Oryctolagus cuniculus: one gene and its partners. The protein of the gene in region 6 interacts with the protein of the main gene of each other region in a pairwise test. Links are inferred from orthologs where the notes say so. Each region holds a gene or a part of one and is shown on either strand. Other genes may lie near its edges.

The links.
Region 1: the proteins of STAT3 (region 6) and NFKBIZ interact in a two-hybrid assay, tested with the Homo sapiens proteins (2 studies listed by BioGRID and IntAct). The link is inferred for Oryctolagus cuniculus from reciprocal best matches to the Homo sapiens genes STAT3 and NFKBIZ.
Region 2: the proteins of STAT3 (region 6) and SRI interact in binary tests that used the Homo sapiens proteins (3 or more experiments, as listed by UniProt). The link is inferred for Oryctolagus cuniculus from reciprocal best matches to the Homo sapiens genes STAT3 and SRI.
Region 3: the proteins of STAT3 (region 6) and BMX interact in binary tests that used the Homo sapiens proteins (3 or more experiments, as listed by UniProt). The link is inferred for Oryctolagus cuniculus from reciprocal best matches to the Homo sapiens genes STAT3 and BMX.
Region 4: the proteins of STAT3 (region 6) and BLK interact in binary tests that used the Homo sapiens proteins (3 or more experiments, as listed by UniProt). The link is inferred for Oryctolagus cuniculus from reciprocal best matches to the Homo sapiens genes STAT3 and BLK.
Region 5: the proteins of STAT3 (region 6) and RPA2 interact in a two-hybrid assay, tested with the Homo sapiens proteins (2 studies listed by BioGRID and IntAct, with this or other methods). The link is inferred for Oryctolagus cuniculus from reciprocal best matches to the Homo sapiens genes STAT3 and RPA2.

Annotation. Positions count from the first base shown.
Region 1 is NC_091435.1:56,493,375-56,496,874, reverse strand, and holds part of NFKBIZ (NF-kappa-B inhibitor zeta), read right to left. Parts: intron 3,449-3,500; coding exon of another isoform or gene 3,438-3,448; coding exon 3,309-3,437; intron 2,800-3,308; coding exon 2,769-2,799; intron 2,661-2,768; coding exon 2,557-2,660; intron 2,460-2,556; coding exon 1,690-2,459; intron 1,026-1,689; coding exon 920-1,025; intron 471-919; coding exon 324-470; intron 136-323; coding exon 72-135; intron 1-71. UniProt on the Homo sapiens protein: Involved in regulation of NF-kappa-B transcription factor complexes. Inhibits NF-kappa-B activity without affecting its nuclear translocation upon stimulation.
Region 2 is NC_091447.1:47,172,397-47,176,523, forward strand, and holds the start of SRI (sorcin), read left to right. Parts: upstream 1-1,327; 5' UTR 1,328-1,428; coding exon 1,429-1,479; intron 1,480-2,237; coding exon 2,238-2,321; intron 2,322-3,993; coding exon 3,994-4,063; intron 4,064-4,127. UniProt on the Homo sapiens protein: Calcium-binding protein that modulates excitation-contraction coupling in the heart. Contributes to calcium homeostasis in the heart sarcoplasmic reticulum. Modulates the activity of RYR2 calcium channels.
Region 3 is NC_091453.1:1,655,933-1,659,432, reverse strand, and holds part of BMX (cytoplasmic tyrosine-protein kinase BMX), read right to left. Parts: intron 1,223-3,500; coding exon 1,095-1,222; intron 1-1,094. UniProt on the Homo sapiens protein: Non-receptor tyrosine kinase that plays central but diverse modulatory roles in various signaling processes involved in the regulation of actin reorganization, cell migration, cell proliferation and survival, cell adhesion, and apoptosis.
Region 4 is NC_091433.1:42,982,853-42,986,352, reverse strand, and holds part of BLK (tyrosine-protein kinase Blk), read left to right. Parts: intron 1-778; 5' UTR 779-779; coding exon 780-887; intron 888-3,500. UniProt on the Homo sapiens protein: Non-receptor tyrosine kinase involved in B-lymphocyte development, differentiation and signaling. B-cell receptor (BCR) signaling requires a tight regulation of several protein tyrosine kinases and phosphatases, and associated coreceptors.
Region 5 is NC_091438.1:143,728,122-143,731,621, reverse strand, and holds part of RPA2 (replication protein A 32 kDa subunit), read right to left. Parts: intron 2,944-3,500; coding exon 2,842-2,943; intron 2,720-2,841; coding exon 2,606-2,719; intron 1-2,605. UniProt on the Homo sapiens protein: As part of the heterotrimeric replication protein A complex (RPA/RP-A), binds and stabilizes single-stranded DNA intermediates that form during DNA replication or upon DNA stress.
Region 6 is NC_091448.1:20,494,264-20,497,763, forward strand, and holds part of STAT3 (signal transducer and activator of transcription 3), read left to right. Parts: intron 1-19; coding exon 20-118; intron 119-206; coding exon 207-342; intron 343-1,341; coding exon 1,342-1,394; intron 1,395-1,629; coding exon 1,630-1,724; intron 1,725-1,835; coding exon 1,836-1,975; intron 1,976-2,440; coding exon 2,441-2,653; intron 2,654-3,500. UniProt on the Homo sapiens protein: Signal transducer and transcription activator that mediates cellular responses to interleukins, KITLG/SCF, LEP and other growth factors. Once activated, recruits coactivators, such as NCOA1 or MED1, to the promoter region of the target gene.

The DNA of each region.
Region 1 (3,500 bases), on a different chromosome or scaffold from region 6:
ACACAGTACCCTAAAGCTATGGACTCCAGACTCCAAATGATTCTTTATTCAATAAAGTTTCAGCTGCTTACCATCATAATTAGTTGCCTCAAGATCCACAAACTGATTGCTCCTCACAGCTCCCTTCTGAATTGCCTGCAAAATTTTAAAACAGACATCTGTTGGCAAAAGACAAACTATATAAATACTGATCTCTTGGTATCCCAAGGAATAATAAAGTCAACTCAAAACACACTATTTCACCAAGAAACCTACATCGCACTTCTAATATCCAAGCCCCCTCTCGGCCCACAGTGATGAGAGTCTGCGTCATTGCCTCTTACCTGAAGCACCTGGGGGTGCCCCTTCTCAGCACAGACATGCAGAGGTGTCCTTCCCCAGCAGTCTGTGGTGTTCACCTGGGCCCCAAGGTTCACCAGGTCCTGAACAATGAGATGCTGATTGGCAGCCACTGCGACCTGAAAGGCACTCTGTGGATGTTCAGGAGAAAAAAAGCATATATATATATATATGTATACACACACATATACACATATACATATACATACACAAACATGTGTATATATATTTTTATGTATATGTATTTTAACATGTAACAGTACCCTAACAAGGCATATGAAATTAAACTGTGACTTAGGGAAAATCCCACATAGAGAAAATAAATTCTACTAATAAGCAATCAGATATTGTAAGACAAGGAAACTAAAATAAACAGGGTGAGGCTTTATTATACTCAATCTTCGATCAAATAACTACAAAGTCAATGTTAATAACTTCAAGGTTGATGGTAGCAAAAGTCAATATCTCAAAGTTAATATTAACTAAACGCTCTTGCTCTTCAGTTCTGAAATTATCTGGTCCATCAGTCACTTTACTATGACCAGATCTTTGCCATTCCAGACTCTGCCAAGATCCTCACCTGCCCATTGTGCTCTTTAATATCCAGCATGTGAAGGGCATTCATCTTTCTTGCGAGAACATAGGAAAGTGCCCTTCTCCCCTGGGCAACAGCAATATGCAGGAACCTGGGGAACAAGCAAGGGAAAGGAGGTGAATCACTTCTAATTTCCCTGAAGTTCCTCTTAAAAAAAAATTTCCTTTAACCCTCTTTTTGATATATTGATACACTGAACTGGAATACTACAGAGCATAATTTGTTCTTTCTGGTAGGTTGGTAACACAGCCAAGTTGCAAAGGGATAACTCAGGCTACCAGAAATAAGAAAAAAGCTGCCAAGCACCATGCTGATCCCTTTGGAACTATAATTTTTAATACTCATAAAAACCCTGTGAGAAGCACTATCATTTTACGTGTTAAGAAACTGGGGCGGAGAGTGGTTAAATAACTTGCCCAATGCCACAAAAGTCATTAGCACAGATTAGGATTCAATCTATAAATCAACTCACAATTTTTATGCTTAACTATGGTTTCTGAAGACACAGTTTATGCTGGTATTCCAAAACCAATTATTCAAAGACACACACACATATTTTTATTAATTTAGAACAATTAGTTTCAGCCAAAAAGAAAAGAGGTAAACTCTTAAAATATGAGTCACCATGGAGTAGCAGTTTCTGTCTATAATAGTCATCTTGGTTAGCCAACAATTAAGGTATCCAACTAGAAAAACTCTGCACCCACTAGATCCAACAAGTTTGACTTAAGTACCCGAGATAAAAGGATACTTACGTGTCACCATCTGCATCCTTTGAAAGAAACTGGTCTTGGGAGATATTTGCCAATTTGCTTTCTTCCTGCTCTACTTGCCACTGAAAAAATGACTTCCCTAACTGTGTGGTGCTCATTGGACTGCTGATGTCCTGGATTGAGCTTAAAGCGGTAGCGCCTGCATCATGCCCCGCCATGGCCTGACAAGCACTGTTTGGCATCAGACTGAAGTTCTGCAAGTGAGTATCATTTTGCTGCTGGACACTGGGGGAAGTCTGAATGGGAACAGTAATATTCTCAGATTCCCCATGACCACTTAGGAGGGTTGTAAAAGTGGTGTTTGGGCAGAACTGTGGTGCCTGACTATCAAAGAGGCTTGCTTCACAGCTGGGGGACTGGGAAGTCCTGGAATAAGGACTGTATTCCAGAGTCGGGTTATGGGTGTAATGTTGCGGGGGCGGCTGTTCTGTATTCTGGTTCTGCGGAGAATACTGATACATAGAAGCCTGGTCCATCACTTGGGAGGAGCCACTGACTTGGAATGGTTGGTATTTCTGAGGTGGGGAGAAGATCTGCCCTCCATGAAAGTCCCGACACGGCTCTTGTGGAGAGCTCTGAGGGACCACCACAGGGTTCATCCAGCTAACTTGGACTGTGTTCAAGGAAACTGGGCTGCATTCATTCTTAATGTTCATAATGTTCTGAAGCAGGTCGGCACAGCTGTCCTGTTTGGATTCATTGTGATGAACATCTTCCATGCTCTCTGCCGGCGTTGGTGTTTGAGGTGGTGTCTGCAAAAGAAAGAAAACACACCTTGTACTCTGCCTTCCTTCTAAAATTAGTTCAGGGATAACTTCAAAAGGGTATGCAGAAGCAAATAGTCCTTACCAAAAATTGGGTATGCAACAGAGCTGGCCTTTTGCAAGCTGGTCCATCAGAAAACAAATCAGGCCCTTTCCTTTTCCCAGTATATGATACTGTGTTCTTCAATTCTGTCCCAAGAAATGAGTATGAAGTCAGTGACCGTTTTACCTTGCAAGTTTTCCCATCATCACACTGAATTATTTTACTCTAAGATTATGAACAGAAGTAACTCTTACCTGTGAACTGCTCTATATTCACACTTTGTGTCTATAAAAGAAAAAGAATTTCCAATTTAATATACACAAAATGGTTTCCTGCTTAATATATATCAATAAAGAGACTTATCTCTACCGCCCTTTATAGCTTACCAGGAATCAGTTATTCTATCAATATTTACTTCATTCTCAGTTCTCATTCTCTCTTGCAACTTCCCCATTTTCACTTTCACCTTAGTTCAACTTATTAAGACTAAATTAATAAAGGCCATTTATCTTTTCCCTGTGTAGTCAAAACATCCCATGTCAACTGAATACTGATTATTTCCTTGGCCCTAACTTGCTTTCATTCATCAATTTCTCTCGGATACCTACCATGTGCCTGGCACTGGGTTAAGTGATAGGAACAGAGCAGACATCAAGACAAGTCCGGTCTCTGTCCTATGAACTCTATCATCTGAAAAACTGCAAGTGACTTACTGGACGCTGGTCAGTAGAAAGCAATAACCCTGGCAGACTAACCTCCCCTCCAATCCACTCAAAGCAAGAAATGCGTACCACCTTAAAATCATCCGCAGCTTGGCCAGAAGCCTTCTGCTTATGACTTCGGATGTGCAGCAGGAGTTCTTTCACGGAGTTCTTCACACGAACACCTTGAAAGGGTCCTCTCTGCTGCCTGCCAACCCCCATATGGGGCTCAACTGTTCGGGAAAAAAAAAAAAAATGTTTTATGGCCCAATTAAATCTCTTCGT
Region 2 (4,127 bases), on a different chromosome or scaffold from region 6:
ATCCACCTTGACGTCTGCCTGCGGCTGCACACGCAGGAACCTATTTCCCGACTCCCACGCAAAGCAGGCCACATAGCGTTCATTTCCTGCAACAGGAACCATTGGAATTTTCCTCGGGATTCAGGATGAGGATGGGTATCTCAGGAGAGGGCCTGTGAGGGAAATTACACGCAAGAAGAAAACAATGAACGTGGCAGGTGGCAGCCCAGGAATTCGGAATGGAGCATCCTGCGCATGTGCGGACACGCACAGCAGCACGCGGGCAGGTGCCCAGGGCAGGATCGCCGCACACCCCTACTACAAACACCCCAAATCTTGTAATTCTCATAATGTCTTTAAAAATAGTAAGTCTAGGGGCTAGCACTGTGTATGTACCAGGTAAAGCAGCGCCGGCATCCCACGTGGGCGCCAGTTCCAGTCCTGGCTGCTCCACTTCTGATCCAGCTCTCTGATTCAGTAGACAAAGGAACCGCTGAGATAAAGCCAGCCCCGATCCAGCTCTCATGTGGCCTGGGACAGCAGTAGAGGATGGCCCAAGTGCTTGGGCCCCTGCACCCTCGTGGGAGACCCAGAAGCTCCTGGCTCCTGGCTCCAGATTGGCCCAGCTCTTGCCATTGCGGCCATTTGGGGAGTGAACCAGCGGATGGAAGACCTCTCTCTCAAATACATAAATAAATCTTTAATAAGTCTAGTCCTTAATAGTCAAGGGCAAGCAACCAATTTCTTGTGTCACTGAAGTGACACAAAACAAACCCACATGTCACGTCTGAACTGCGGCAGATCCGAATGCGCAGAGAAAAAGTTTTCCGGGGAACCCGAGCGGAGCTCTCTCGGTCCACCACTCTGCGCTGGTTTGCTCTACCGAGTCATTTCGAGGAGAGGGACTGTTCTTCCAGAACCACCCAGGTCATGCCAGCGCGCCCCGTCGGTCCGAGGCAGCCGCAGCGCCAGCCAGGAGTTCACTCCCGGCGTCCAGGGGCGCTGTCGGGGTCCCGCTCCCCCAGTGCCTCCGTCTCCCACCGCACCCTGCCCTCTGCTGACGGCGAGTTCCCCTCTCCCAGTAAAGCTCCCCACGCAGACGGCTGGGCCAGAAGACAGCCAATTAGGAAGCACACACAGAGGCCCGCGGGCGCTGGACGGCGCTGGAACGTGCCATCGCTGCGCAGGGAGGCGAGGCGCGGGCGGGCGTCGCGGGGCAGGTGCGCGCGGTCACCCCGGGCCCTTCGCCCGAGCGCAGCCTTGGCCCGGCACACGCAGCGCTTCGCAGGCGTCCAGGCCCGGGAGCCCCGCCCTCGGGGGGGCCCCCGGTTGGGAGGCGGCTCGCGTGCGTGTCCCCCGCCAGCCCACGTGGTGCGCTCGGGGGCGGCCCGGCGCCCAGGGGCGGGGAGGCGGAGCGCGCAGGGCGGCGGCTGTGGCGCATTCGGCACCATGTCGTACCCCGGGCACCCTGGCGCTGGCGGCGGGTACTACGCAGGCGGGGTAAGTGCTGGCCTCGGGCTCCGGCCAGCCTTAGAGGCGCTGCGGGAGGCTCCTCCGGCGTCCGCAGCCCCGGCTCTCCCTTGAGCGCTCGCACCCTCATTCCAGCCCCCGCGCTCGGCGCCTGTCTCCCGCTCCCTTCTTCCCTCTGCCCCTGCTCCTCCTGGCGCCTGGGGATTGGGACCCAACACGCCCACCTTGCAGTTGGATACTGGCGGCACTAAATGGTGCACACTGGGTGTTGGCTTCCTCTTCCTCCTCCCTCCCGGCTTCCCCCGAAGCCATTTTAAGTGTAGCAGAGCCCTGCCATCTACCGCTCTCCGTTCCGAGAAGGTAGAGGGGGAAGCCTTGGCAGCCGGGCCGCGTCGGGGTCGCCGTGGCACCCGCATCCGCGCCCCCTTTCGCGCCAGGCCGCATTGCCGCCAGCTCCCGAGCTCCGAGGAGGAGCCTGAGACCTGTTGACAGCCCCCAACAAGCTGCAGGGACAGAGCACAACGCTTCTACCCTCTGCCCTTAAGTCACCAGCCTAGGCTACCTGTGCCTGCAGGTTCAAATCGTGGCCCAGGCGGGGTATCCCCTCCAGGTCCAAGCTGCCGGTTCTTAAAGTTCTAGCGGGATGCGAATGGAAGAAAAGGGGTGGGGTGGGGGAGGTCAGCCCCCGGTTTAGGGCGGCGGGCATGGCCTGGCCCTGCACCCAAGCCCTGTGCCGAGCGAAGAACCCTGGGCTCCGCAGATGACACCTTTGTGTTTCTATCCCACAGTACGGAGGGGCTCCCGGAGGACCCTCGTTTCCTGCACAAACTCAGGATCCTCTCTACGGGTACTTTGCTGCCGTAGCTGGACAGGTTGGCTTTTCCACTTTTTCCTTTTCAAATTCAGAGTCTGCACTTGTGTTAGCTGTTGAGCCAGTGGGACCTGAAAAAAAATGAACTTGGTTCTAGAAATGTGTCGCTTCCTTTCTCCCAAAGAAAGAAGGAAAGTTGTTTGTTTCCAGCGTCGGGTCGTTATTTTGTAATACTCAGGACAAGTTAGGATCAGATGTTACTGCTGTTTCTGTGGGTTCAGTTCAGAAGTAACCTTGATTGAATGCGGGTGAAGTTGGGTAGGCCAGAGTACACTTTGCGGATGTGTAAGGGAGCTGGAACGCCCTTCGGTGTGAATCCTCTGGGGCCATGGGTGCTTTCAAGAGCAGAAATTCAAGCTCTGGTGAACATAAGCCCTGGGCTACACAAGGTAAAGACATGCATTAGTAATTACGTGGATGGGCTCTAATGCATTTCTTTGCATTGAATTTGATTCTGCAGCGTTTCCCTCCTTATGAAATAGGTAGGTATGGTAAAAATAGCAGCTTCCAAACAAGAAAGGTACTACTCCTCGTGGTATCAGGAAGTTAATCCTGTGACAGCCAGATGATGTCCCCCAGCCGGCTCTTTCGTGTCCCTATCAGGTGGTGTGGCCTGTTGACCTAGAGTCAGAATTCAGGTCAGTTCCCCAAGACCTCTCACCTCTGCGGGTTGCATGACAGCTGCTGGCTTACCCCGAGGGGGCACAGTCCCCAGCTGGTGAGGCTGCTGTGTGTGGCAGATCCACTGCTGTTCGAACACAGACGTGTCCAGAAGGGGTGTTTGCTCTTGGGCATTCTACTTAGTCTTGTTGTGATCAAAAGCTAGAATTAGCAGACACTGAGTGTGAAAATGCTACAGAACGTTATGGGATGAAAACCTAGGACCACCTTTGAAGGTAGCACTCTTAAGAAATGCAGCTGAAGAATCTGAATGGAAAGTTGAGTCTAAACCAGGAAGACTTTCCTCTTAAGTATCTGCCGCATGTTATCGATCTGTATCTTTGAAACCACAAGACAAGGCAGACCTCGAGACGAGCGTTCTTAGATTGCCGCCTCCCCAGTGTGTAAGTGACTCCACCTGCTTAGCTTTCAGCAGCCCCAGCCTCAGCTCCGCTCATCCAGCCCCCGCTCGTCATTTATGACTTACCAGACTTGAGGACTGGGGCACTTTATTTTAAAACCACTGCAAACAACATATATTTAGTTCTGAGCTAGTTCAGCCAATGAATGAGCCCTGGGAACGCATCCAGTGTACCTTCCAGGTAAAACCATGCCTTGCAAAGCCATCACATCCCAAGAATAGGTGATCAGAGAGGCCTCTTCTGTTTGAACCAAGCCGATGACTTACTGATGGCTGCTCTGTCCCCTGCTGTCTCCCTCCTCCGCTGAGAGAGAGAGACGGAAATGAGAGAAAAGAGATTTTTAGGCAGCTCCATAAATAAGCTAAAAATGCTCAGCTTTGGCACGTTCCTTGCTCAGACTGAGAAGAGAGTAGTTGGAAGGATGATGCGGCATGCCCCGTTTTGGGAAGAGTTTCTTTGAAAAACAATGCTCACGCATGATGGTTGCTTTTATTATTACTATTATGACTGCTGCATTGAATGCGGCAGGGGAAGAACTTTAAAGAGCAACTCAGCTCGCTGTTCTGAGACCTCTCCCTGTTTTCTCACAAGGATGGGCAGATAGATGCGGACGAGCTACAGCGGTGCCTGACGCAGTCCGGCATTGCCGGAGGCTACAAACGTAAGTTGATCGTCCCGGGTTTCTCTGCACACTCGCTCGCGCCCCGTATCTCAGCTGTTGCTTC
Region 3 (3,500 bases), on a different chromosome or scaffold from region 6:
AACATGGACATTTTTAATAGTCTTAGCCTTTGTGCCAGAAATTCCACTTCTAGGAATTTGGCTATAGGAACTATCTGGGTACACAGGGCTATGTGCACAAGATTGTACATTGAAGCATCCATTGCAATGTCAAAATATTGAACATGACCCATCTGCGAACCAACAGAGAGCTGGGTGAATAAATTATGCAGGGGGCCGGCGCCGTGGCTCACTTGGTTAATCCTCCGCCTGTGGCGCCGGCATCCCATATGGACACCAGGTTCTAGTCCCAGTTGCTCCTCTTCCAGTCCAGCTCTCTGCTGTGGCCCGGGAAGGCAGTGGAGGATGGCACAAGTGCTTGGGCCCTGCACCCGCATGGGAGACCAGGAGGAAGCACCTGGCTCCTGGCTTTGGATTGGTGCAGCACCAGCAGTAGCGCCCACTTGGGGAGTGAACCAATGGAAGGAAGACCTTTCTCTCTGTCTTTCTCTCTCTCACTATGTATAACTCGACCTGTCAAGTAAATTAAAAAAAATATGGAGTAACTCTGCCAAAGAATTCTATGTAGCTGTTAAATAGATCAAAATAAGCTATACATACAAAGAAAAATCCCTAAGACATAATGAAGAGAAAAAGAAAGCTGAACAGTAGGTGTAGAATGATCTCATTTCTGTAAAAAGGTAATGTATATACATATCATTTCTATTTATATATAATGAATCATAAGTGTTAGTATCAGCATACAAAAAATCTATCATAATAGACACTAACTTGTCCATGGAGGCTCTCCACCTATTGACATATATTTCTGTAATATTTGAATTTTAGAATTAACTTGTTTCTATAGGCAGGAGAAACCTTACAGATACTTTTATAAAGATAATTTATCCTTTTAAGTTGTTCAACTCATTCAGTGTCATTCTTTATGGCATTTTGGAGTATACCTTGTTATATTCCAGGAAAATAAGTTAAAAGTCACATAACCAAAGGGCTCAACAGCATTTTTTCCTACTTTCGAGGTTCCCTATATAATTAGGAATATTATGATCAGTAGTATCCAAGAAAACGGATATTTACCAACAAGATCCCATAAAAGAAAGATTGAAATAGGTTACCTGCTGAATTGTGTTGATGATAGTGAATAAGCTTTGGAATGGAATCAAAACAGTAGTTTTCTGCCAGATATAATTTGTTCTCACCATTTGTATGCACATGGTAATGTTTGACAGTTCCTTTTTTATCACTAGTAAAGAAGAAAATGTTTTTTAAAAAAGCATTTTACATAAATGACTGAAGCTTGATGCAGCAATGGTTAGATAATTATTTTAAATGTATGGATGTCAGGAGACGGAAGTCAGGAGGGGTTCCCAGCCCTGACAGCTGGTGTTTATCGGGAGGTACTCATGACACCCAGTAATTATGGAAGAGGCTCTGCTCTGAACTCAACGTATCCTTCGTGCACATACTGAATTCATCTACAATAAAATTTCAACTTTCCACCCTTAATAATTATAAAACTCAAATCTTCCTTTGACATTTGAGAGGCTTTGAAGTTCTTCACGATCATTATTCAGAACATGAATTCTCTTTTAGGATAATGATGGAGATAAAAGTGAGGGAGGCCAAGACGATTAGGCTGTGAGTATTCCCACCCCTGAGCACGAGTAGAAAGTTCTTTTGGGAGTGGGGCTTGCGGTTTGAAGTTGATGAGGCTGTCCTTTAATTCCTCATGCGAGCTTGTACTTTCTCCCCATAAAATAGTCTATTCTTTTCCTTTACTTTTAGAAAACAGTGGTGAGCTGATGCACACTGCTTTAGGCTAATCAAAAATAATACACCTGTTTCACATTTCAGAGTATTGCACAGTGGTCAAGAACTGGGCTTTGAGTCCAGTTGCACAGCTTGCTAACTACTTCATCTGGTTGTTATATAGATTCAATATCTGTCTATCTGCTCTATGCTTGGCACATAAGAAACATAATAAATAATAATAAATTGCTGTGGTTGTAATATCATTCTAGTTAAAGCTGCAATTATAAAGAGGAGAAAGGGTGCATATTTTTGGTGCAAATGGCCAACTGGCTTGTGGTGTCAGCATGAAATTCACTCAAGCCCATTGAGGAAGTTTCATAAAAGAGGGTTTCGTTTTCATTAATTAGGACTGTTTTCATTTGATTCCTTATCTCTTTTCTGATTTGTCTACATGGTCACCTTCAGAAATGAATCTGGTGTCAAAAAGTGTGATTAAGGCATTTAATATGAGGTTTGGTGGAAACTTCAGGGCCAGAGGGTCATAGAGCTTTTTATACTCAGTGATCAAAGTCTTCTCCTAGTTCTTGGCTTTAGCCAGTATCCAGGTGTCATCATGTGCAACTGAGATGCACTGGGGACAGGACTTCTGGCATTGAAAAATGTTGTACAACCACTCAGGGTACATCCTATCATCTCACACTGGAGATAGGTGTTATAAAAACCTTCTCAAAATAAAATAACTTTCATCACTTTCATCACTTAATTATCATAAATATAAACATAAGCATCATGGGATAGGGTACACGCAGAAGGTACCAAGGCAGAGGGTAATGTGATTCACTGTTGAAAAAGGACACACACATAGAAATATGTGTTTCCAAATTATCCTAATCAAGTTTTGGTCTGATTCCTGTTCCAAAATATTGAGGGTTTCAGTGTAGACACAGAATGTGGATAAAGGAACATAACTTGTTATTGGAAGCCTGGTTTCAAGTCAGACACTTTGTGGGCAGATCTTTATAAACTCTCTTTGACCCTCAATCCTTCCATCTGTAAAATGGTGAAATAAAAGCAACTGTCCTGTGTGCTTTGTTGGACAATTACAAGGACAAAAGAGCTAACAACCAGTGGCAAAGTGACTTATAGCACTCCAGATGTTGGCGATGGATGGCTTTGTATGAGATGACTATGGAGTGTCTTACATGCCTAGGTGTTGGGGTGCAGAGAGTGGAGCAAGGAAAACTACTTTTGCCAGCAGCAACAACAATAACTGTAACTGCTCTTAGCTTATTAATTGCTCACCATGTGCCAGACAGTTTTAATCCCATATGGATTAGCTAACAGTAGCCCTAGAACATAATCATCATCATTATACCCCCTTTTCAAGTGACAAAGTTGAGCCACAGGCATTTGTTCAACTTGCTCAATGCCATGAAAGCTTGAAATGGCAGAGCTAGCATTTGAATCTATAAGTTTGGTTTCAGACTGGAACTCAGCCACACAGAGAGGACAGCACCTTAAAAAGAGGCTATGCAGAGAACATAGCTACATGGATTCAGCCTTCTGCTGACTCTGGAAGGACTCACTAAGCACTGGATATTGGGGTAGGTTTCTTAGCTCAGCGCATGACTAGGGTTGAGAGTGCAGAGACTCCATTGTTATTTTGCTCTCTTTCTGGGCTTAGATTTGCATGGAAGGGAATCAGCCAGGAGTTTTTTAATAAATGCTTCCTGAGGCTGTGCTCAGGCACTCCGCTGTTGCCTGGGTGG
Region 4 (3,500 bases), on a different chromosome or scaffold from region 6:
AATAAAACATCAGGGACCCAGGGACCCTTCTCTCCACAAAGGTCTACACCTCAGGCCTGGGCCAGATGAGTGTGCTGGCCCAGCACTGGACTGGACCTTGGGCTAGCTCTGCACCGGCTGACTGTTTCACCAGGAACAAGCTATTTAACAGGGTGGAGAAGCAGCCTCCCTAAAGAGCATGGCCTCCTGGCATGGACATGGTACTAATGGCCTGGTCCTTAGGGTCTCCCCTACGTCTGTCATCCTAAGATTCTTTCCTGGATAACACTCCTGGCCATAGTTTTGTCCTCTCCCAAGGAGACCCCAGGTACTCCTGAGAAGCCTGCGCTGCTGGTCTTCCCTTGTTCTAGCACCCCATCTGCCAGCTGGAGCCGGAACGCACCTCCCGCCTGCCCCAGCACAGCTCTGCGGGTTACCAGGAGCCCATGGGCCCAAAAAGGAAACAGGACAGTCTGAAGTGACATAGCCAGTAGCCAAAGGAAGCCTGAAACCCAGACACCTAACACATTGATCGGGCTCTTTCTAGAACACTCAAGAGCCTCCCTACCCAGACACCTGTCCCCAGGAGCCTGGGATCCACTCCAGTAGTTTTTGGCTGTTGCTTCTGGCCAAGTGATCTCTGTGTCCTGTTCTCTTCTCTGGGCCACTGAAAAATGACGGACACAGGCTCAGCTTGCCCACCCCTTCTAACCACCCTTCTCCTCCACCTTCCTGCCTGCACGGGACCTGAGGCAGCCCTGCCATCTCCTACCACCAACCTGCTGTGTCCTTTCCACAGGATGGGGCTGGTGGGCAGCAAAAAGCAAGTCAAGGAGAAGGGCAAGAGCCACTGGAGCCCTGCGACGGTCAGCGCTCAGAGCAAAGCGCCCCCACCACTACCGCCCCTGGTGAGTGACGGGGTGGGAGGCAGCAGGAGGGGGAGTGCGGTGCACCTGCAGCTCCCGGAGGCTACCACAGGTCTCCAGCCGGCCCAAGTGCCATCTCTCGGTTCTGACAAGCCCACCGTAGTAGACAAGCCACACACCAGCGTGGCAGTAGAGCAGAATGCTCAACAACCAGTGCAGATCTTAGTGTGTGCCTTGAAGCAGATTAGTTAACGCACCTGCGCCTCAGTTTCCACCTGACGGGTATAGTAGACGTGCCTTCCTGATAGGCACGGAACAACACACAGGGTCTAACCCAGGATGTTTAGCCAGTGCTCTCTTGTCACAGCAGAAACCAAAGAGGTCAGCTTGGGAGGGCGTGGTGGGGAAGGGTCCGAGCTTTTAGCTACCCCTGCGCCAGCCTCTACCTGGAAGCACCCGGACACCACTGCCCCTGCGCAGCGCTGCCAAGGTGAGCATCCTGAGACTGAGGGCACAGCAGACCCTCTGTCTCCCTGCAGCCCCACAGGCACTGCACAGGCAGAAAACTTTCCATGGGCAGAAAACAGGGAGATTTCAAGTGGTAACGTTTTACTGCTGGGGAATCCATCTTCCCTTTTAAAAATGATTTACTGGGGCTGGCACTGTGGTGCAGTGGGCTAAGCCTCTGCCTGTGGTGGCGGCATCCCAGATGGGCACTAGTTCATGTCCCAGCTGCTCCTCTGCTATGGCCTGGTTAAGCAGTGGAAAATGGCCCAAGGGCTCAGGCTCCTGCACCCACATGGGAGACCCGGATAAAGCTCCTGGGTCCTGGCTTCGGATGGGCTCAGCTCCAGCCGCTGAGGCCATGTGGGGAGTGAGCTGGTGGATAGAAGACCTTTCTCTCTGTCTCTCCCTCTTTCTATCTGTAACACTACCTTTCAATTAAATAAAATCTTTAAAAAGATCTTTAAAAAAAAAGATTTTCTTTATTTGAAAGGCAGAACGAGAGAGAGAGAGGGAGACAGAAAGAGATCATCCATCCATATGCTGGCTCACTCCTCAAATGGCTGTGCTGGCCAGGTCTGGGCCAGGCTGAAGCCAGGAGCCAGGAATTCCTTTCTGGTCTCCCACATGGGTGGCAGGGGCACTTCCTCTGCCTTCCTGGATGCATTAGTGGGAAGGTGGATGGGAAACAGAGTAGCAGAGACTTGAAGCAGCACCCCATTAGGGGATGCTGCTGTACTGCAAACAGCGGCTCAATCTACCGCACCACGCCAGCCCCAAACCCATTTTCCCTTAAACACACTTCTGGTTTGTTTACAAAGCAGTGAGCATCCTCTAACAGCCACTGCATTTTCACAAATGTGTTTCCAGGCGATGGTTTGTGCCCCTGTTGCTGGGCCCCTTACCCTCTTTTGGCCTAGGGTACTTGGGAGCCATGCCTGAGCCCCCTCCTCTGTCAACAGGGGCACATCACGAGGCCACCCCTCGTTTCTCACAGGGTCTTGGTATGAGGTGGGAGTTACTGTAGTCATCTCATGGCTGAGCCTAGCCATCTTCTCGCCTGTGACCCAGTTAACCCCGGGGCCTGGGCACTCAAAAACCAGCTGTCTGTTGAGTAAACAAATGATCACACGGGTAAAACTGGACTCGAGACAGATTGAGTCATTTCCCCAAAGTTATATGTAAAATGGTGGAGCCTGGGATTTATTTTAACTTAAAAAAGCCATATAACCGAAAGATTACAATTCCTCACTATCCCAGACACCAGCGGCCAGCTCTGAGTCCTGAGAGCCCATTTCTGTGCATTCCTTGTGTGTTCATGTTTTGAAGGGAGTGAGATCATGCTTACATTTTGCAAAATGCTACTTCAAGATTGTGTTCAAGAAATCTGGACCACAAAAAGAATATAAGAGCACACACATCGGGCTGAAAGAGTATAATCAAGCCAGCATGTGGGCGGCTCCCCCCAGCCTCACGTTTTTCTTGGTGTCTCCTTGCACCTCTGCCAGTTCATCTCCCGTCGCCCACACCCCCACATCCCAAGAGTGTTCATCAAGCCTTAGCTGTTTTACATTATCACATATGTAAACAAGAATAAACAGCATTTATTTTTCCCACTATGAACTTTATTTTTTTAAGGATTTTATGTATTATTTATTTGAGAGGTAGAGTTACAGAGAGGCAAACGGGGAGAGAGAGAGAGAGAGAGAGAGAGAGAGAAAGAGAGAAACAGAGAAAGAGAGAGAGAGAGAGAGAGAGAGAGAGAGGTCTTCTATCTGCCAGTTCACTCCCCAAATGGCTGCAATGGCCAGAGCTTGGTTGACCTGAAGCCAGGAGCCAGGTGCTTCTTCCGGGTCTCCCATGCGGGTGCAGGGGCCCAAGGACTTGGGCCATCTTCTACTGCTTTCCCAGGCCATAGCAGAGAGCTGGACTGGAAGAGGCGCAGCCGGGACTAGAACTGGCACCTATATGGGATACCGGTGCCGCAGGCAGAGGATTAACCTACAGAGCCACAGCAACGGCCCCCCAGCTGTGAATTTTAAACCAACTGAATCGAGCAGCAGATATCCTCTGAGACTTGAGTCTGGGTTCAATATTATGTCTGTGAGATTCACCCACATTGATGCATGGAGCTACAGTTCATTCACTTCA
Region 5 (3,500 bases), on a different chromosome or scaffold from region 6:
ACGTGGGAGACTTGGAAGACACTCCAAGCTCCTGGCTTCAGATCAGCCCAGCTCTATCCATTAAGGTCATCTGGGAAGTAAACCAGCAGACGGAAGACTCTCTCTCTCCCTCTGCCTCTCTGTAACTCTGCCTTTCAAATAAATAAATAAATCTTAAAAAAATAAATAAAAGAAAGTGGAGCAGCTGGGACTTGAACCGTCACTAGACTATGGAATGCCGGCATTGCAGGTGGCAGTTAACCCACTGTGCTACAACGCCAGTTTCTCTTTCAATTCATTTTCTTCGTATTTATAGACAATCATATACACATTACATTACAAAAACGAGGTCAAATCATACATACATACATACATCTTGCAACACGTTCCTTTTCTCAAATTGACAGTAAATATTTCTTTGTGATGATACATACATTTCTAAATAATTTGCAGTATGTATAAATAAACCATGGCTTACTTAATAATCTCCTATTGCTAGCATTTTGGTTTTGCTTTTAATTTTTCATTAACACATTATGATCAACATTGTGTTCTGTTTTGTTTTGACAGGCAGAGTTAGACAGTGAGAGAGACAGAGAGAAAGGTCTTCCTTTGCCATTGGTTCACCCCCAAAATGGTTGCTACGGCTGGCTTGCTGCACCGATCCAGGTGCTTCCTCCTGGTCTCCCATGCGGGTGCAGGGCCCAAGTACTTGGGCCATCCTCCACTGCCTTCCCTGGCCACAGCAGAGAGCTGGACTGGAATAGGAGCAATCGGAACAGAATCCGGGGCCTCAACCAGGACTAGAACCCGGGGTGCCGGCGCCGCAGGCGGAGGATTAGCCTAGTGAGCCATGGCGCTGGCCATGATCAACATTCTTAGAAGTGAATCTTTGAATGCACCTTTAATTATGTCAGTATAAAACTCTAGAAGTAGAGTTGCTGTTTCAACATTTTAATCATTGAAAATTTTGACACAGGATGTTTGAGGAAGGGTTTGCCAATTCTTGTTTATATTATCGGGGTAGAATGGTATTTTTCCTTAAACAATGGCAAATCATTCAACACATATTAGGTGCCTACTAAGTGCGAGAGGCACTATGCTGCTCTCACCAGAACCTGACACTGTCATTCTTTGAAATTTCTTTGCCAATACAATGAATTAAAAATCGTATCTCGGGGTCAAAGCTGCGGTGCAGCAGGCTAGGCTGCTGCCTGCAGTGCCAGTATCCCATCCGAAGGCAGGCTCGAGCCTCAGCTCCCTGCTAACGCACTTGAAAAGGCAGTGAAGGATGGCCCAAGTGCTTGGGCCCCTGCACCCACGTGGGAGACCTGGAAGAAGCTCCTGGCTCCGGATCAGCCCAGCTCTGGCCGTTGCGCCCAACTGGGGAGTGAACCAGCGGATGGAAGACCTCTCTCTCTTTGCACCTCTCCTTCTCTCTCTGTGTAACTCTTTCAAATAAATAAATAGATCTTTAAAACTTCTTTGTCCATTTTCCTAAGGTGCAATTGTGGGTGTTTTTTTTCACTTTGTAAGCATTTTTAGTTAATATTTAAAATGTTTGTCATTTGTTGCAAATATTTTCTCCATTCATATAAACAGTAAACAGTATTTACTAAGTCAGGCTGGGCCAATTATGTCACTGACATTATTCTAGGTGTTCTAGGTGCTGGGAATACAAAGGTGATCAAAGAAATAATTTTTGTTCTCTTGGAATTTACATTCTACGGTGTCCTGTCACTTGCCTTTTTAGTATTTTGGGAAATTTACAAGGTTTTAAACTTTTCTTTTTTTTTTGACAGGCAGAGTGGACAGTGATAGGGAGAGACAGAGAGAAAGGTCTTCCTTTGCTGTTGGTTCACCCTCCAATGGCCGCCGCGGCTGGCGCACCACACTGATCCGAAGCCAGGAGCCAGGTGCTTTCCCTGGTCTCCCATGCGGGTACAGGGCACAAGCACTTGGGCCATCCTCCACTGCACTCCCGGGCCACAGCAGGGAGCTGGCCTGGAAGAGGGGCAACCGGGACAGAATCTGGCGCCCCGACCAGGGCTAGAACCCAGTGTGCCGGCACCGCAGGCGGAAGATTAGCCTATTGAGCCGCGGCGCCGGCCAAGGTTTTAAACTCTTACGAAGGGGCCAGCACTGTGGCATAGTGGATAATGCCGCTGCCTACAGTGCCAGCATCCCATATGAACACTGGATCAAGTCCCGGCTGCTCCACTTCTGACCCAGCTCTCTGCTATGGCCTGGAAAATCAGTGGAAGATGGCCAAAGTCCTTGGGCCCATGCACCCCCATGGGAGACCCAGAAGTTTCAGGCTCTTGGCTTCGGATCTGCCCAGCCCTTGCCATTGCGGCCATTTGGGGAGTGAACCAGCAGATGGAAGATCTTTCTCTCTCTGCCTCTCTGTAACTCTGCCTTTCAAATAAAATAAGTAATAAACACATACATAAATAAAATAACTTTTATGGAATCAAATATATTAATGCATCACAGTAGGGCTTCTGCCTCTGACGTCTCACTTAAGTATTATTTTTTATTAAAAATTTTAAAAGGTAATATTTAAAAAGTGCATCTTCTCCAAAGTCCCAAAGTAACCCTACCCTGATCAAAAACAGCCTCTTACATCTGTGTCGACCCACTGACGGACGTCCATGGGTGCAGCTGTCATGTCATCTATTTTGTAAACAATGTTGGTTGGTGCCTTCTCCGCATGTCTGATTATCCCCACGATGGTGACCTAGGTTAGGAGAAAAAAAAACAACTTTATCTTTCAAGAAACCAAAGCAGCACATATGCATTTTTAAATTAAGTCATTTCATTCTTTATATGATCGACTCTTACACAAATTCTTTCACATACCTGTGAAATCTCAACATTCCCAATTTTGAAAACTTCATCGGCCAGAGTGGCAGAAAGCAGCTGGGATATGGTACAGGGCACAATGTGCTGGGCTCGGGCTCTCTGCAAAGCAACGTGTGCATAAATTCAACTAAAAGTATAGTGATGACCACGCATTTAACACCTGCCACCTGCCAAACACATTAAATAAATTGGAACATTAAACTTTCTCTAAAAAAATTTAAACAATTTACTTTCATTTTATTTGGAAAGCAAATAAAGAACTTGAGAAAGAATCTTCCGTCCACTGACTCACTCCCCAAATGCCTGCAATAAGCAGAGCTGGGCTGGGCCAAGGCCAGGAGCCAGGACCTTGAACCAGGTTTCCCTCATTGGTGGTAGGGACCCAAGTCATCCGGGCCATCATCCGCTGCCTCCAGGGTACACATTAGCAGGAAGCTGATACAGAAGTAGAGTCAAGACTTACACACAGGCACGAGGACAGGATGCAGGCGCCCTAGGCAGTATCATCACTGCTACCCCAAATGTCCACCCTGGACACTGAATCACAGGGATCACATAGCTCACAAATGCCACATCTGAGAATTCAAACCTGGGTTGTTCTGACCTCAAAGCTCCCACGGAACAGGTAAGTTGGAGCCACAGGGAGGACTCAAGAA
Region 6 (3,500 bases):
CTTGCCCCACTTTGTGCAGACCCACTCCCTGCCCGTGGTGGTGATCTCCAACATCTGCCAGATGCCGAACGCCTGGGCGTCCATCCTGTGGTACAACATGCTGACCAACAACCCCAAGGTCGGTGCCCGGGGCTCGCCGGTAAGGACCCAGCACCGGTCACTGGCACCACGCCCTCGTCTGAACGGCGACCGCGGTGTCTTCACAGAACGTGAACTTCTTCACCAAGCCTCCGATCGGGACCTGGGATCAAGTGGCCGAGGTGCTGAGCTGGCAGTTCTCCTCCACCACGAAGCGGGGGCTGAGCATCGAGCAGCTGACCACGCTGGCCGAGAAACTCCTAGGTTCGCTGTCACCTCTTCTTCCCCTGCCCTCCTCAGACGAGGAATCTGGCCCGGGGGGCTCTCCTGCAGTCGGTGTGCCCTGAGCAAGGCACTGTGCTCGGGCAGGAAGCTTTTGCTCCGTGAGGTTGGGCGTCGGGGTGCAGGGACCTGCCGCTCGCTTCTATGAGGTGGGAGGGAGATTTTTCCGTTTTTCTCCTCTGGTTGCTGTCTTTCCTGCCCTTTGAGGATAATATCTTGTCCAACCTTATAAAATTTTTTTAAATAAACTTGTAAAACAATTATTTCATTTGAAAGGCACAGAGAGATTGAGATCTTCTGTCCACCGGGTCACTCCCCAAATGCCTGCAATAACCATGGCTGGGCTAGACCAAGGCCAGGCACTCAGAACTCAATCCATGTTTCCCACGAAGGTGGCAGGGACCCAAGTACTTGAACTATTTCCTGCTCCCTCTCAGGGTGTGTGCTAGCAGGAAGCTGGATCAGAAGCAGAGTAACTGGTACTTGAACTTGGCACTCTGATAATGGGGTGCAAGTGGTGAGTCAACCACTACACTGAGTGCCTGCCCCATCCTTTTAGGATATTTAATGTGTTTCTCAGAAGGTGGTGCTGAAGACCTGATGTTTTCTGTCCATTTCTTCGATAAACTGTAGCCTAGTTTGAAGTTTTTCTCCCCTGGAGAAAGTTTCTAGAATGCTCTGTGTGTCACCTGGACTATGGATAACTTTGGTGCTGCCATCAACTCTGTCAGCTTGATGGTGTGTGCTGCTGCTCCCCATCATCCGCTACCTCTGCCCAGCTGCACAGCAGCCCTGGAGGGCCAAGGGATGGGAGAGGGTGTGTGCATGTGCGTGTGTGCGTGGACACGAATGGCAGTGGCAGCCTGCAGACACGTGACAGCCAGTAGCTCCATGGCCTGTTACGGGCCAAGTGTGTGTGCTAAGAAGTAAGGTGTTGACTCAGAGCTGAACATTTGCTACTTTTCTTCTTTGTCCCTTCAGGACCTGGTGTGAACTATTCAGGGTGTCAGATCACATGGGCTAAATTTTGCAAAGTAAGCAACCGTTTTACTCCTTGCTGTTGTCTCTTGGGAGTGAGCATGGGAGCGCGTCCCTAAAAGATGGGCATAGTGCTTGCTGGGCCTTCAGGCCAGTGACTTCTGGTCCAGTGGCTTCTAGGACCTCCTTGAGGGCAGGGGACCTAAGGAGGTATTTTTGGGCAGTGCCCTCTGCCCCAGGGAGAAAAGGCTGGGGTGGCGATGGACTTGATTTCCCCATTATTTTCTTCAGGAAAACATGGCTGGCAAGGGCTTTTCCTTCTGGGTCTGGCTGGACAACATCATTGACCTTGTGAAAAAGTATATCCTGGCCCTTTGGAATGAAGGGTAGGTTGAGCAGAGAGCGCCCGGGGTAGCCAAGTCACCTGCCTCTCAGCCCCAAGGCCCGGGACCAATGGCCTGGAGCCCCAGCAATGCTGTCCTCCTCTCCGGCTCCAGGTACATAATGGGCTTTATCAGCAAGGAGCGGGAGCGGGCCATCCTGAGCACCAAGCCCCCAGGCACCTTCCTACTGAGATTCAGCGAAAGCAGCAAAGAGGGAGGTGTCACCTTCACGTGGGTGGAGAAGGACATCAGTGGTAAGTGAGCTCTGCTGCTCCCTCGCGGCGGGGCTGGTTCTGAGCACTGCTGCCCTCTGGCGGGCAGAGATGGCCTCACACTCCCCTGCCCCACGCAGACAGGTGCGGCCACCTTTGAACTCCTGCGTCTGAAAGATTGACTTGCCAGTCTGTTTCGCTTGTTCCAGTGAGCAGTGTGTTCCAAGAAATTTGCAGTTGAAATTTTTTATTCTTCATCCTCTTTCTTGCCTACCCTCACTAACACATCTTACTCCGGTCTGTTGCCTATGGCCAAAATGATAGTCTCTGTCATAGTCATCCTGGCCCTTTCCACAGTGCCAGGCCACAGGGAGGGGTATTCAGGGGCGCGAGCGCTGGCCTGCCATAGGTCTGTCCCCACCAAGGAGACACGCCTGGGGGGAGTATGCTGTGGGAGTACGCCTAGCCGCAGGTGCCAGCACCTCTCCTTCCCACCTCGTGCGACAGGGAAGACCCAGATCCAGTCGGTGGAGCCGTACACCAAGCAGCAGCTGAACAACATGTCGTTTGCTGAGATCATCATGGGCTATAAGATCATGGACGCCACCAACATCCTGGTGTCTCCACTCGTCTATCTCTACCCCGACATTCCTAAGGAGGAGGCGTTCGGAAAGTACTGTCGGCCGGAGAGCCAGGAGCACCCTGAAGCTGACCCAGGTAGTTGTTGATTTTCCACGTTCCCGTCCTCCTTCTTGGGAGGAGCTGCAGGTTGCGGGGTCCTTGGCGGAATAACCTGGGAGACCCTCGTTCTCCTCCTGGGGAGGAGCTCGCCAGGCGCTGCTGGCCGTGGCCGATGTGATTTGAGAGAAGAGTGGACTCCGGGTGGCCAGCCCCTGCCCCACAGGGAGCACCCCAGTCTGAATGGGGAAATAGGTCACCCCTGCCCACGAAACGTGAGAGGACTGGATGCCCAGCTAGCACGGTGCTTCCTGTGTTGGGGGTGCCAGCAGGGCCGGGACGGAGACCTGAGCCCCGCAAAGCACCGGAGCAGTGGCAGGAGGACTGCAAAGCTTCCTGGAGGACACGGGCCTGGCGGTGCCAGAGCAGGGAGCACCGCGGAGGAGGGCTCGCAGGGGTGAAGGCAGCCGGTGCGAGGGGTGTGGGATTCGCATGTAGGATGTGCGGCTATTAAAATCAGTTTTTAAAGATTTATTTATTTGAAAGACAGTGACAGAGGGAGAGGAAGAGATACGTTACACCTGTGGCCCCTGGGTCCTTGGTGTGAACCGTGGGTAGGGGGAGCCCTCCTGTCTGCGTCCATCACACGCTTGCCACTCCAACTCTGGCTGGCTGTCCCCGCACCTGTCCTGAGGAGCAGCCTCTGGCTTGCATTCTTCTTTCCCTTTTCTAAAATTGAATTTCCTTCCTTCCTTCTTTGAGAGACAGAGTGCCCCCATCTGTTGATTCACTCCCCAGATACCTGCAGGGGCCTTAGCAAAGGCTCACGCGTTACCTGAGCCATCACTGCCGCCTCCCGGGTCTGCGTTAGCCCGGACTCCGAGCCCGT